Linked DNA regions of Macaca mulatta. Each later gene encodes a partner of the first gene's protein in a complex. Links are inferred from orthologs where the notes say so. Each region holds a gene or a part of one and is shown on either strand. Other genes may lie near its edges.

Region 1 (7,306 bases):
CTTTTTTTTTTTTTTGAGACAGAGTCTCACTCTTGTTGCCAGGCTGGAGTGCAGTGGTGCAATCTCGGCTCACTGCAACCTCCGACTCCCTGGTTCAAGTGATTCTCCTGCCTCAGCCTCCCAAGTAGCTGGGACTACAGGTGCCCACCACTGCGCATGGCTAATTTTTGTATTTTTAGTAGAGACGAGGTTTCACCATGTTGACCAGGATGGTCTCGATCTTCTGATCTTGTGAGCCACCCACCTCGGCCTCCCAAAGTTATAGGCATGAGCCACTGCGCCTGGCCCGAAATTTACCATCTTAACCGTTTTTGTTTGTTTTTTTGTTTTTTGAGATGGAGTTTCACTCTTATTGCCCAGGCTGGAGTGCAGTGACGCTATCTCGGCTCACTGCAACCTCTGCCTCCCGGGTTCAAAGTGCTAAGATTACAGGCATGAGCCACTGCGCCCAGCCATTTTGTTTGTTTGTTTGTTTGTTTTCTGAGACAGGGTCTTACTCTGTCACCCAGGCTGGAATGCAGTGGCATGAACATAGCTCATTGCAGCCTCAAACTCCTGCACTCAAGCAATCCTCCCACCTCAGCCTCCTGAGTAGCTAGGACTATAGGCATGTGCCTCCAGGCCTGGGTTATTTTCTTTTTTTTTTTTTTTTTGAAATGGAGTCTTGCTGTGTCACCACCAGGCTGGAGTGCAGTGGCACAATCTCAGCTCACTGCAACCTCTGTCTCCCGGGTTCAAGTGATTCTCCTGCCTCAACCTCTCGAGTAGCTGGGACTATAGGCGTGTGCCACTACACCCAGCTAATTTTTGTATTTTTAGTAGAGGTGGGGTTTTACCATGCTCGCCAGGATGGTCTCGATCTCTTGACCTCGTGATTTGCCCACCTTGGCCTCCCAAAGTGCTGGGATTACAGGTATGAGCCACCGTGCCCAGCCATTTTCTGTTTTTATAGAGATGGGGGTCTCACTATGTTCTTTTTTTTTTTTTTTTTGAGACGGAGTCCCGCTCTGTTGCCCAGGCTGGAGTGCAGTGGCGCAGTCTCAGCTCACTGCAAGCTCCGCCTCCCCGGTTCAAGTGATTCTCCTGCCTCAGCCTCCCGAGTAGCTGGGACTACAGGTGCCCGCCACCACGCCCGGCTAATTTTTTTGTATTTTTAGTAGAGACGGGGTTTCGCCGTGTTTGCCAGATGGTCTTGATCTCCTGACCTCGTGATCCACCCACCTCAGTTTCCCAAAGTGCTGGGATTACAGGCATGAGCAACCGCGCCTGGCCGGGGTCTCACTATGTTAAGGCTGTCCTTGAACTCCTGGGCTCAAGTGATCCTCCTGCCTTGGCCTCCCAAAGTGCTGGGATTATAGAAATGAGCCACGGTGCCCAGCCATCTTAACCATTTTTCTGTGTATGGTTCAGTGGCATTAGGTACATTCATATTGTTGTGCAGCCACACCGCCATCCATCCACAAAAGTCTTTGCAGTTTGAAAACTGAAACTGTCTCGGTTAAACACTAATTCCCCATTCTTCCCAGTCCCTAGCAACCATCATTTTACTTTCTGTTTCTATGAATTTGACTGCTCAATGAGTGGAACCATACAGGATTTGTCCTTTTGTGCCTGGCTTCTTTCACTCAAAATCATGTCCTCAAGGTTCATCCATGTGCCAGCATGTGGCAGAGTTTCCTTCTGTTTTAAGGCTGCATCATCCATCATATGGACAGATTGTGTTTTGTTCATTCATTGGAGATATTTTCTGAGCCTTCTGTGTTTCTGACCTGGAAGTGCTAAGCCTACCCACATTGGGGCTCCTGAACCTTACTGAACAGGCCCAGTTCCTGGATGGGGTTTGGTGCTTCGGGTTTTTCTTTTGGTCAGTAACCACATCTGTTTTGGGGCTCCCTCAGGGACTACCGTGCCATCCCAGAGCTGGACGCCTATGAGGCCGAGGGACTGGCTCTGGATGATGAGGACGTAGAGGAGCTGACGGCCAGTCAGAGGGAGGCAGCAGAGCGGGCCATGCGGCAGCGCGACCGGGAGGCTGGCCGGGGCCTGGGCCGCATGCGCCGTGGGCTCCTGTACGGTAAGTCCAGGTGCCTGCCTGCCCGAGGGGCTGGGAAGCTGGGAAGGAGTCCGGGAGGGGAGTAGAGGTGCTGGAGATGACTACAGTAGCAGGTGTCTCTTGCCTCCCCAGACAGCGATGAGGAGGACGAGGAGCGTCCTGCCCGCAAGCGCCGCCAGGTGGAGCGGGCCACAGAGGACGGCGAGGAGGACGAGGAGATGATCGAGAGCATCGAGAACCTGGAGGATCTCAAGGGCCACTCTGTGCGCGAGTGGGTGAGCATGGCGGGCCCCCGGCTGGAGATCCACCACCGCTTCAAGAACTTCCTGCGCACCCACGTGGACAGCCACGGCCACAACGTCTTCAAGGAGCGCATCAGTGACATGTGCAAAGGTGTGGCTTTCCTCAGCTCCCACCTCAGCCCCTGTAGCACCTCCATAAATCTTCCCACAGAAAGTTTTCCCAACCCAGTGAACACGTGAAGTACAGGGCATGTGACTGAGAGGTCTGTCAGAGAAACTAAAAGTATTGAGTTTTGCATCAGGGCTCTCCTGCTGGCTGTGCAGTGACCACATCTGGGCCACCAAAGCATTTTTTTGATAAGCTTGTAAATGGACAGATTTTATATAAAAATCTGGATTACTACTTTGATATATGTAATAGGAATTGTCTTTTTTTTTTTTTTTTGAGACGGAGTTTCGTTCTTGTTTTTGTTTCCCAGGCTAGAGTGCAATGGCGCAGTCTCAGCTCACTGCAACCTCCGCCTCCAGGGTTCAAGTGATTCTCATGCCTCAGCCTCCCAAGTAGCTGGTATTACAGGCATGCGCCACCACACCTGACTAATTTTTTATTTTTAGTAGAGACGGGGTTTCTCCATTTTGGTCAGACTGGTTTGGAACTCCCGACCTCAGGTGATTTGCCCACCTTGGCCTCCCAGAGTGCTAGGATTACAGGTGTGAGCCACCGTCCCCAGCCAGGCATTGACTTTTAAAAGGGACGTGTACATCTTGATTCCTGCAATTCCTTCCCCTGCTTTTTGTCCTGTGTTTGACAGTTTATTCATAGATTTTCTTCTAGGCTCTTGTAAGGCATTTTGTGTTTATAGTTCTGTAGGCACTCTGCTCGTGTTTAACCCCCCAGCAACTTTGTGCACCATGTGACAGGCCCATTTTACGGAGTGGAGAGTTGAAGCTCAGGCTATGTCACAGCGGAAGTGTGGTAGACCTAGAAGTGAAAGCTGGACTTTCTAGGTCAAAGTCAATGGTCGGGGTGGGTAGGCCTCACTTCTCACACAGACATTGTTGCCGTCCAGCCCGGTTCTCATGCTTCATTAACTCTCTTCCCACCATGCCTCCCTCTAGAGAATCGTGAGAGCCTGGTGGTGAACTATGAGGACCTGGCAGCAAGGGAGCACGTGCTGGCCTACTTCCTGCCCGAGGCGCCGGCGGAGCTGCTGCAGATCTTTGACGAGGCTGCCCTGGAGGTGGTACTGGCCATGTACCCCAAGTACGACCGTATCACCAACCACATCCATGTCCGCATCTCCCACCTGCCTCTGGTGGAGGAGCTGCGCTCGCTGAGGTGAGCTGAGGGCAGGTGAGGATGGCAGGTCTGAGCTCAGTGCTGGGTAACTCAGTCGTGATTCCAGAGAGCGCTCGTGGTGTGGGCGGGGCAGGGTGCAGCCAGCAGCACCCTCATCGCAGGTGAGTTGTGGTTGCACAGGAGTGTGATGGGAGGTATCTTCCCAGGCTGGGGGCTGGGCCCAGTTTCCACGACAGTGTGTTGGGACACCCTCGTCTGCAGCCTGGCCTCACCCTAGCTCACAGCTTCTGATGCTCCCTCTGCCTCTGCAGGCAACTGCATCTGAACCAGCTGATCCGCACCAGTGGGGTGGTGACCAGCTGCACTGGCGTCCTGCCCCAGCTCAGCATGGTCAAGTACAACTGCAACAAGTGCAATTTCGTCCTGGGGCCTTTCTGCCAGTCCCAGAACCAGGAGGTGAAACCAGGCTCCTGTCCCGAGTGCCAGTCAGCCGGCCCCTTTGAGGTCAACATGGAAGAGGTGAGAGAGGCCACAGGGCCTGCTGCCAGCTCTCCTTAGGGGTGCCCAGTATGCAGGGCCTTACTGGCCTCTCAGGCTGTAGAAGACCAGTGTGGGCAGCCTCAAGAAGCAAGATAGAATTGTGTGTTGGCCACACCCTGGGGTGGACCCAATCTGTCTGGCCAGTGAGCTTAGTTTGGCCCACACGGTGTTTTTAGGAATTCAAGTCAATATTTAGGTGGGGCGATTTTGTTTAAACCATTCAAGTTTATGGCTCCTCTTGAAACATGGGAAGATCTGGCAAACATGGGAAGAAGCAAACAGGTCCTGCTTCTTGCCAAGTTGCTCCTTCAGAATGTGTGCTTACCAGTCTCCAGGGGGCCATCACTTGCGTGGGGCGGCTGCAGTCCCATCGGGACTTCCCCTCGGCTTGTTTTGGGGACCTGCCTGGCTCATATGGGGCCCCTGGACCATACCAACCTCTTGCACCATATTCAGGAGATGCTGCCAAAGCCTCTGGCCTTAAGGTCTTAGGCACATTACATGTGCCTTTGTACTTGAGCTTCCCTGTCTGTAAATGGGCTTGTAGTCCCTGTGGTGGTGCCCAGGCCCCCTGACTGCCTTGCTGCTGTGGCTGTTGGCTGTCCTCTTCTCACCGCTCTGCAGTTCTGAGAACTGTCCCAGCTCGAGCCGCCTTGCCAGAAAATGCCTCAGAGGTCCCACCTGTGGCCATCTACAGCCAAAAGCTGACCCCTGCCTCAGGTGGGACAGCTGCAGGCCAGATGCCTGCTGAGCCACGTCTTTGCTCACTCTTCCCATGCCCTGTCTGTCTCCCTCAGGCCTTGCTTCTAGGGACCTGAGATAGTACCTGGTAGAGGGTTAACAGTTACAGCTATCATTCATGGAGTACTTATCAGTGCCAGGTAGTGGGTGGTTTATTACCTGGTCCTTTTTCACAGCTCGTGAGGCAGGAACTGTTACTGGCCCCACTTTTCCGAGTGTTTAGAGAACTGGCTGAGGTCACCCAGCCAGAATGTGGATCAGAGGTCCACAGCTCAGGCATCTTGATCCAGAGCATGTGCTTTTAACTGCAGTGCGTGTTGTGAGATAATGGACACGAAATGACATGGCACAGTGCTAGCCTGTGATAATTGACAGTGACAGCCAAGACTTCCTATAACTTACATTTATCAGATGCTGGATTAGGTTGATGTATGTTTGACTTGCTTTAATTCTCATTGTGAGGTTGCAGAGAAGGCACAGAGAAAGGAAGTCACTTGCCCAAGATCACACAGCTTAGACACAGAACCAAGGCAGCCTGGTTCCAGCATTGGTACTCAAGACAGCTCAGCTGTACAGCATAGAGCAGGTGCTGAGTCTGGCAGTCAGAAGGCATCCCAGAGGGATGGTGGCAGGAGTGGGTACTGTCCACTGATGTGCTAAGTAGCCATGAACTCATTCCTTGCTGTCTTTGGCTCTCCATTTGCCACTCAGGAGTCGGAATCCTGCCTGTTGTCCTGCCTGGTGAGGGGTCAAGGTTGGGTGACATAGTAAGTCAGTGCTTTGAGGCCTTCTCTGTGTCCCTCGCAGACCATCTATCAGAACTACCAGCGTATCCGAATCCAGGAGAGTCCAGGCAAAGTGGCAGCTGGCCGGCTGCCCCGCTCCAAGGACGCCATTCTCCTTGCGGATCTGGTAGACAGCTGCAAGCCAGGAGACGAGATAGTAAGTGGCCAGGGGTAGGCTGGAAGGGAGCCAAGTTGCAGAGGGAATTGGCAGAAGCAGTTGTGGCTGGGCTGGTGGAGGTGTGTATGGTCGCAGGGGCACTCAGGCTAGCATCTGTTTTTGCATGGCTGAGGCAAAGAACTTTATCTCCTCTGGTGGATGGGTTGTTGGAATGGTGGGTTTAGGAGGGCTTTTTACTGAGTTACTCATCTTGATGTCTGTAATGTGGAGCACTTGCAATAGGAGAAATTGGAGGAAGGCAGCACGGAGGTGGGCCCCCACTCTGCCTGTGGCCCCTCGGTTAGGCTCTGACTTCTTGGCCCCTCCCTTTCCCCAGGAACTGACTGGCATCTATCACAACAACTATGATGGCTCCCTCAACACTGCCAATGGCTTCCCCGTCTTTGCCACTGTCATCCTGGCCAACCACGTGGCCAAGAAGGACAACAAGGTCGCTGTAGGGGAACTGACCGATGAAGATGTGAAGATGATCACTAGCCTCTCCAAGGATCAGCAGATCGGGGAGAAGGCAGGTGGAAGGCAGGGGCTGCCAGGATGCTGTGAGGGGACATGGAGGTTTGCTGGGGGTGTGGCAGGCATCTAGGGCTCACTGCTCAAACCTTGCCTTATTCCCCTGGAGCTCAGTTAAGCTTGTCTGGAAGGGAGGCCCTGTGCTCCGGGGAAGAGGTAAACTCGCATTGGGGATGGGTGAACCTGGTTCTGGTTCTACCATGGGCCAGCGAGGTAGTGGGATAACTTGGATGACCTCTCTGAGCCTGTGTGGTGGGGAGGAGTCCCCTGCTGAGGATAGGGTTGCGACGAGAAGAGCTCTTCCTTTAGCAGATCATTTCGAGCTGTGGTTTGAAATGGGAACAGAGGCAGGCAATAGGATAATTTGTGTCATGAGGGATTCCTAGGGATCCAGTTGTGGCCAATGGGAGTTTTTTCAGAAAAACAACCCAGAATGGTGGTGGTGTTGTGTTTTGTTTTGTTTTGTTTTGTTTTGTTTTTAAATAGAGATGGGAGTCTCACTATGTTGCCCAGGCTGGTCTCAAACTCCTGGCTTGTCTCACACTCCTGGCTCAAGATCCTCCCACCTTGGCCTCCCAAAGTGCTGGGCTTACAGGTGTGAGCCCTTGTGCCCAGGCAGTTGGGCAGTTGGTTTTTAATGTAGACATTCTTACTGAAGGATGAGGAGATGGGGGTTTATGTTGCAGAAATATGGATTACTTAAACAGAACATCAAATTTTTGTTGATAAAAGTCCTTTGCTGTTTCTCCCACAGTACCTCCATCCTGCCTCAGAGCACTGCATGTTCTCAAGCTCACTGCTCTCCCCTTTCTCTTCCTTCCTTCCTTTTTTTTTTTTTTTTTTTTGAGATGGAGTCTCTGTGTCGCCCAGGCTGGGGTGCAGTGGCGCAATCTCAGCTCACTGCATTCCTGGGTTCAAGTAATTCTCTTGCCTCAGCCTCCTGAGTAGCCGGGATTA
Region 2 (7,306 bases), on another chromosome or scaffold:
AACATTGGCAGTTTTATATGACTATAATCTTGAATTATCTTCAGATCATATTAAAACTAATTGTCCATTGTAATATTAAATAAGCCCCTAAGTAATAAATGGTGAACTGTTAAACCTTTTTTAATCAAAACGTTCAATTGTGATTCTTTGTGGGAGAATAGGTGTGTTTTGACTAGAGAAGAAATTAGGTTCAGGTGTCAGTTTGTAGCAAATTCAGATTGTTAACATTTTGATTGAAACATATGCCTTATGATTCGGTAAAGAGAGGTAGCAAGAGGATTTCCATTTCTTTGTGGGGAAAAGGAGTCTTGGGTGATTCAGAATCAAGATAACTGCTTTACACATTAGGTGAGATTTGCTTTTGCAATTTCCTTGATTGTCATCTTCAGTCGTAAAGAGAAACATGAAGTACAGATGGATCACAGACCTGAGTCTGTTGTGTTGGTAAAAGGAATCAACACCTTTACATTGCTCAATTTTTTGATTAACTGTAAGAGTTTAGTTGCTACCTCAGGTCCACAGGCAGGACTTCCTCCAACCCTCTTGTCCCCTGTTGCTTTCCGAGGTGCCACAATGCAAATACTTAAGGTAATAAAAATCTCCATAACCTAGCTGTTAATACAAAGTACTTTACTTTGTTTGATAGGATAAATTCTTGATTTAAAAAAACAAAAAACCTCGTAGCATTTTTACTTGGTACATATTTTCCCTTTGCTTTCCTCCCATTAAAAAAAAAAATTTTATAAGACAGTTACATCAAAGAAATTATGTGGAAATATGTAAATTATATGAAATCCTTTTTATTTTCTTTTTGAGACGGAGTCTTGCGCTGCTGCTCAGGCTGGATGGAGTGCAGTGGCATGATCTCAACTCAGTACAACCCCTGCCTCCCGGGTTCAAGTGATTCTTGTGCTGTGCCTCAGCCTCTTGAATGGCTGGGATTACAAGCACACATTACCAACCCCAGCTATTTTTTTTGTTTTGTTTTTTCTTGTTTGTTTTAAGAGGGTGTCTCACTCTGTCACCTGCTGGAGTGCAGTGGTGCGATCTCAGCTTACTGCAACCTCCGACTCCTAGGTTCAAGCGATTCTCCTGCCTCAGCCTCCTGAGTAGCTGTGATTACAATTGTGCACCACCACGCCTGGCTAATTTTTTTTTTTTTTTTTTGCATTTTTAGTAGAGACAGGTTTTCGCCATATTGGTCAGGCTGGTCTTGAACTCCTGACCTCATGATCTTCCCTTGGCCTCCCAAAGTACTGGGATTACAGGCATGAGCTGCTGCACCTGGCCGCCCTGCATTCATTCATTCATTCATTCACTCATTCATTTAGAGACAGTCTTGCTGTCACCCAGGCTGGAGGGCAGTGGCTTGATCTTGGCTCACTGCAAACTCTGCCTACCGGGCTCAAGCGATTCTTCTGCCTCAGCTTCCCAAGTAGCTGGGACTATAGGCTCACACCACCATCCATGCCTGGCTAATTTTTTTGTTTTTTTTGTTTTGTTTTTGTTTTTGTTTTTTTTGTTTTTTTTTGAGACGGAGTCTCGCTCTGTCGCCCAGGCTGGAGTGCAGTGGCCAGATCTCAGCTCACTGCAAGCTCCGCCTCCCGGGTTCCCGCCATTCTCCTGCCTCAGCCTCCCGAGTAGCTGGGACCACAGGCGCCGCCACCTCGCCCGGCTAATTTTTTGTGTTTTTAGTAGAGACGGGGTTTCGCCGTGTTAGCCAGGATGGTCTCGATCTCCTGACCTTGTGATCCGCCCGTCTCGGCCTCCCAAAGTGCTGGGATTACAGGCTTGAGCCACCGCGCCCGGCCATTTTTTTGTATTTTTAATAGAGACAAGGTTTCACCATGTTGGCCAGGCTGGTCTTGAACTCCTGACCTCAAGTGATCTTCCCACCTTGGCCTCCCAAAGTGCTGGGATTATAATCATAATAAATTATATATGTAAATACAAAATACATACAATTTTATTACTTAGTAATAAAATTGAATGGACTTTAAATTTTTGTTTTTCCAATAGTCTGCATTGACAATGTGTTATTAAATCAGACAAAATACCATATGAAAAAGTGGTATTCTCTGGAATATACATCACCTGAAAATCTCATAATATGGAGAGGATGCTGAAAATTTACTAAGTATTTGTACTCACGTAACATTGTTTTGATGTCTTGGGAAATAGTTTTGTTCCATAATTGTTAAAGAGAGGAAACCCCAAATGGAAATATATTGAACATATTTTTGGCTAGACAAAAGGTTGAGAGATGATCATAATTTTCCTTTTCTTTAAATTTTCATAAAGGCACGAAGTGTAAATGTGAAGACACAAGCTCTTTCTGGATACAGAGACCAGTTTAGTTTGGAGATTACAGGTCCTATCATGCCTCATTCTCTGCATTCACTGACCATGCTGCTCAAATCTTCACAGAGTGGGTCTTTCTCTGCAGTACTATATCCACACGAGCCAACTGCTGTATTTAACATCTGCCTGCCAGTGGACAAAGTACTTGATATGGTAAGAAAGACACCTATGAGCAGACTGTTTTAGTTGTTTAGCTGGAGGGAAGTGAGTCATTTATGCTGAGTCACTTTTGTGTTTCAAGTAATTAAACTGTTATTTAATTACGAATTACTAGAGGAAAGAATAGCTTTCATGAATTCAGTCCAAGTACAATTTTCTTTTTTTTTTTTTTTTTGAGACGATATCTTGCTGTTGCCCAGGTGGAGTGCAGCTACGCGATCTCGGCTCGCTGCAACCTCAGCCTCCTGGGTTCAAACAATTCTGCCTCAGCCTCCCAAGTAGCTGGGATTACAGGCATGTGCCACCATATCCGGCTATATTTTGTATCTTTATTAGAGACGGGGTTTCACCATATTGGCCAGGCTGGTCTTCAACTCCTGACTTTAGGTGATTCACCTGCCTCGGCCTCCCAAAGTGTTGGGATTACAGGCTTGAGCCATGGCGCCCGGGCTCAGTCCAAATACAGTTTTAACAGTGACTGAAGAACTTCGCATTTCAAAAAGGTACAACTTTTATTTTCATTTCCTCTTGGATCCAAAACTCAGTAGTACCTGATTCCTTTATAGTTTAAGGAAACATGATTCACTGTGGGTATTTATTTAACCATATTTGCCTTTAATTTTGAATATACTTAAGGTTTTTAGAGCTAGAATAATTAAGACCTTTAAAATTATCTCATGCATCTCAGTTGGCTAGACTTATAAAAATAACCATTAATGTTTTGGGATTTTGTCACTACAAAAATTCTTAGGATCAACTTCTGTTGATAGGATGAATCACGTGAATGAGACATTTGTCAGTCTCCATAGTAATTATTTGAAACTCTTTTGTGTTTAAAGATTGATGTGCTTTTTACTGACTTGTATACACATTTCCACAGGAGGTTGTTCATAAGGAGCTTACTAACTGTGGTTTGCACCCTAACACTCTGGAGCAACTTAGTCAAATACCATTACTTGGGAAATCATCTTTACGGAATGTGGTGCTGAGAGACTACATTTATAATTGGAGATCCTGAACACCAAAGTAAGCCTAAAAGGAATCTTTGAGGAAAAAAGCCTTCTAGCAAGGAAATTCAAGATTCTTGAAGTTGAAGGAATATACTGACATGTTATAAACATAACTTTTATTACAGTAGCATCTAAGGTTTTAAATCAGTGTTTTCTGCTTTTACTATTTTCAGATTAGATTTTTAGATACAAAGATGAAAAACTCAGATAACTCAAATGAGCTATCTGTATCCCTACAACCTAATTGTATATTGAGTAGAAACTGAATTAATGTTTCCTTGCAAATGGGAAATCACATAGCAGTTACCTCATGGCATTGTGACTAATGGCATCAGGGCAAAAATATGTTACTTTACCATTTACCTAAGACTGTTAGCAGGTTCTTGTTTCATAAAGGTAGAAAATAAATATAGATAACATCTACTGAGCTAGCTGATTGGTGATGCTTCTACCTTAATATCTTTCCTACTGATTTATAATTCCTTTATTTTCACATATACTAAAACTCTAATGCATGTTAATTCAGATAAAAAGGCATTTTGTATTCCACATAGAATAGTGTTAAGAATTGTGAAGTACACACTGAGCTGTCATGGCAAAGTAGTATTTAATGTGCTTATAGGGTGTGGGGGTGTGTGTGTGTGTGTGTGTGTGTGTTGTGTGTGTTGGGATTGTATAATTCACATTTTTAAAATAAAAGTGCTTAGAAATCAAAAGCATTGGGTAAAGAAATAATAGTATCTAAGTATTTGTTCACTTTATAATCCAGAAAATAAAACACCACGTTTATTCCAGAGAAGTTTGTATTTGGGCCTTAAGCTTTTGAAAATAAAGTTTAGAGACATAGCATATGAATACCACTGTAATACACATGAAATATTCTATCGGACCCTAAAAATTAACATAAACTTTAACTTTCTCATAGTCAACAAAATAGTGGCTGGTTGCCAATTTTATTAGATAAGTTGGTTACAGCATTTTAATTATCATTTTACGTCTATCTAGGTGTAGCTGAAATTCAAAATGCACATCAAAGTAAAACTATATCACAACTCAATGCCATACTAAATGTACTTGGCCTCTGCAATAGTAGAATTCTAGTCAGACTTCATTTTTTACTCCCTTCTTATGACCCAAGTGGCTTTAACAGGAATGCAGGACTTAGTGCTGATCATCACACAACATACCACTTTCTTTTTAGAACCTCTACAAAATTTTGAGGGGAGATTGTGGCAATAGCCCTGTGGAACAGATCTTGATCACCTCAATAACACTGGCCCAGTATCTGTCCAGCAGAACCCATTGTGAAATAGTACAAGGTGCACAGCCCTTCACTGATTACAGGCAAGTGTTACAGTAGCCTAGCCATAAGGAAGGGGAGTTACATCATAGTACAAAATACAGTATAAAAGCGTTATTTAACATTCCACACTGAAGATTACTCTGATGCCTTCAAACAATCGTTTGGATGTTAGCCACTTAAACAAATACATCACTAAGGTAAACAATATAAACATACCAAAACCCTGTATGGTTAAATACAATTTCCATGGTACAAAAATCAAAGCCTGGAGATGTTTTTACAGATTGCTTTTTACACAATGTCTTAAATTGCCAAATATTTACAACATTAAAGAGGAAATACATTGTGATGCAGAGTAAAATTATCTGAAATGATTATTATAAAACCTCAATCTATCTACGTGAGGCACTCCTGAAGCAAGTGGCATTAGCCATGAGGTCCTTTGGTACAAGGCCCATTGCTTGAAGAACCACAGTAGCTGCTGTGGCTTTAGCATGCTTCTTATTAGGGCTGGCAAAGCTGGGCTGGTAAGCGCTTCCATTTATCAATACCTATTCAAGAAAAACATACAATTGGGCTGGTAAGGGCTTCCATTTCTCAATACCTATTCAAGAAAAACATACAATAAGAACAGCATCAAACTTTAATATCTATTAGCTTTGTATTTTTCACTAAATGCTAGAAAAATAATTTACAAAAATATAAAACCCATACTATGTAAGTCAAATTATAATCTCAACCCAGAAGCAGCAAATCATTTGGGAAAAGGGACTGCAAATTAAAAGCAGGTCTCCAAATTGAGAAAAAGACTGATAAAAGTATTAAATTAATTCCCCACATTCAACTAGAAAATAACAAATTGTATACTATATTTTGCCCAATTTTTTCCAATTTTTTAAAAAATAGGACATTGACAAGTCATATGAAAGCACCCTTCAGTTTAAAAACCCCACCACTTAACTACAAATACAAATCCCCCACCCATGAACAGAACCTTAATCCTGTCATGTTTACCCCTCACCCTCTAAGTTATCACATTAATAAATATATACAATTAGTGCAGAAATTCATATTTACCCTAAAAAGAAAATGTTTGCGATGATCAGGGCCACTATCATGGACCAACAGAAATTCAGGTGGTTGCCACCTTCTCTTATTACAGATTTCCATCAAAGCAGACACAGGATGTTTGCCTGCAGCGGGGGAAAAAATATCCAGTTTTAAATTATTTCTACCAACTTCTGCAACAAATAATGAATTCAAGGTGGGATTAGGGTAAGAGGAAATTCAAAAATGTGCTCTCACCTGACAGATCTTTCATTGCAGCAGAGAAGTTCCCAGACCTCTTTTGTGCTCTTTCTCCTACTGCAACAAGACCTTTAAAAAAAAAAAAAAAGATTGTTCACTAAATAACTTTCAAAGCACCATTTTAAAACAAAGATTCTTCTGTAGGAGTCTGACCCTCAAAATGTATGCCTTCAGATAAAATCAACAGATTCCTAGTACACTTGATTTCTCTATCAATCTTCTCTTCTCTTTTACTGTTTTTCAGCATACAAATTTATATTTAATATTCATAGACTTTGGTATGAGAAATTGTAATAAATACCAAATGTAAACAGAAAACAAAAATTTAAGTATGGCCAGAGGCACGGTGGCTCACGCCTGTAATCCCAGCACTTTGGGAGGCCGAGGTGGGTGGATCACCTGAGGTCAAGAGTTTGAGACCAGCCTGGCCAACATGGTGAAACCCCGTCTCTACTAAAGAAACAAAAATTAGCCGGGCGTGGTGGCGGGCGCCTGTAATCCCAGCTACTCGGGAGGCTGGGGCAGGCCAATCGCTTGAACCCAGGAGGCGGAAGTTGCAGTGAGTCAAGATCGTGCCATTGACAGCCTGGGCAACGAGCAAAACTCCATCTCAAAAAAAAAAAAAAAAAAAAAAGTTTATTGCTAAATGATTTCTGCAGATTTACTCTCTCAAAAAAGCCTCAGTTAAGACTCTTCCAAAAAAGGTTAGGATTTTAAGCCACCAAAAAGGTGAAAAAAGCGGTTGTCTCCAAATAAAATAGGTCCCTTTTTTCCTAGCAAACTCCCCTCTCCCTTCCTAACAAATGGGAGATGTTCTCAAAATATGAACATAACCTTTCTACATAACCTCCCTCTCCATAGGCTTATTACAAAGGGGATTAGCTATATTGCTAAACCCAAACACTGCTTTCCCAATTCCATATACAGGTTGAGTATTCCTTATCCAAAATGCTTGGGACCAGAAGTGTGTCGCATGATTCCAGGTTTTCAAATATTTGCATTGTATTTACTGGTCGAGCATCCCAAATCTGAAGAGGCTCAAATCCAAAATGCACCAGTGAGCATTTCCTTTGAGCATCATATCAGTATTCAAAGAGTTTTCTGCTTTAGAGCATTTCAGGTTTCCAGATGTGGGGTGCTCATCTTGTATGTTACAGGAAATTTT

What was found. The genes of interacting proteins can lie anywhere in the genome.
Region 2: MCM2 (region 1) and DONSON share a complex: the UniProt entries of both Homo sapiens proteins name them as parts of the replisome complex. The link is inferred for Macaca mulatta from reciprocal best matches to the Homo sapiens genes MCM2 and DONSON.

What each region holds. Positions count from the first base shown.
Region 1 is NC_133407.1:156,358,269-156,365,574, reverse strand, and holds part of MCM2 (DNA replication licensing factor MCM2), read left to right. Parts: intron 1-1,898; coding exon 1,899-2,074; intron 2,075-2,166; exon of another isoform or gene 2,167-2,185; coding exon 2,186-2,446; intron 2,447-3,414; coding exon 3,415-3,634; intron 3,635-3,906; coding exon 3,907-4,114; intron 4,115-5,683; coding exon 5,684-5,818; intron 5,819-6,155; coding exon 6,156-6,347; intron 6,348-7,306. UniProt on the Homo sapiens protein: Acts as a component of the MCM2-7 complex (MCM complex) which is the replicative helicase essential for 'once per cell cycle' DNA replication initiation and elongation in eukaryotic cells.
Region 2 is NC_133408.1:13,804,761-13,812,066, forward strand, and holds part of DONSON (protein downstream neighbor of Son), read left to right. Parts: intron 1-389; coding exon 390-588; intron 589-2,301; coding exon 2,302-2,514; intron 2,515-3,400; coding exon 3,401-3,538; 3' UTR 3,539-3,546; exon of another isoform or gene 3,547-4,246; intron 4,247-4,315; exon of another isoform or gene 4,316-5,225; coding exon of another isoform or gene 5,226-5,437; intron 5,438-5,910; coding exon of another isoform or gene 5,911-6,026; intron 6,027-6,138; coding exon of another isoform or gene 6,139-6,210; intron 6,211-7,306. Other genes in the region: protein SON, read right to left, coding at 5,226-5,384, 5,911-6,026, 6,139-6,210. UniProt on the Homo sapiens protein: Replisome component that maintains genome stability by protecting stalled or damaged replication forks.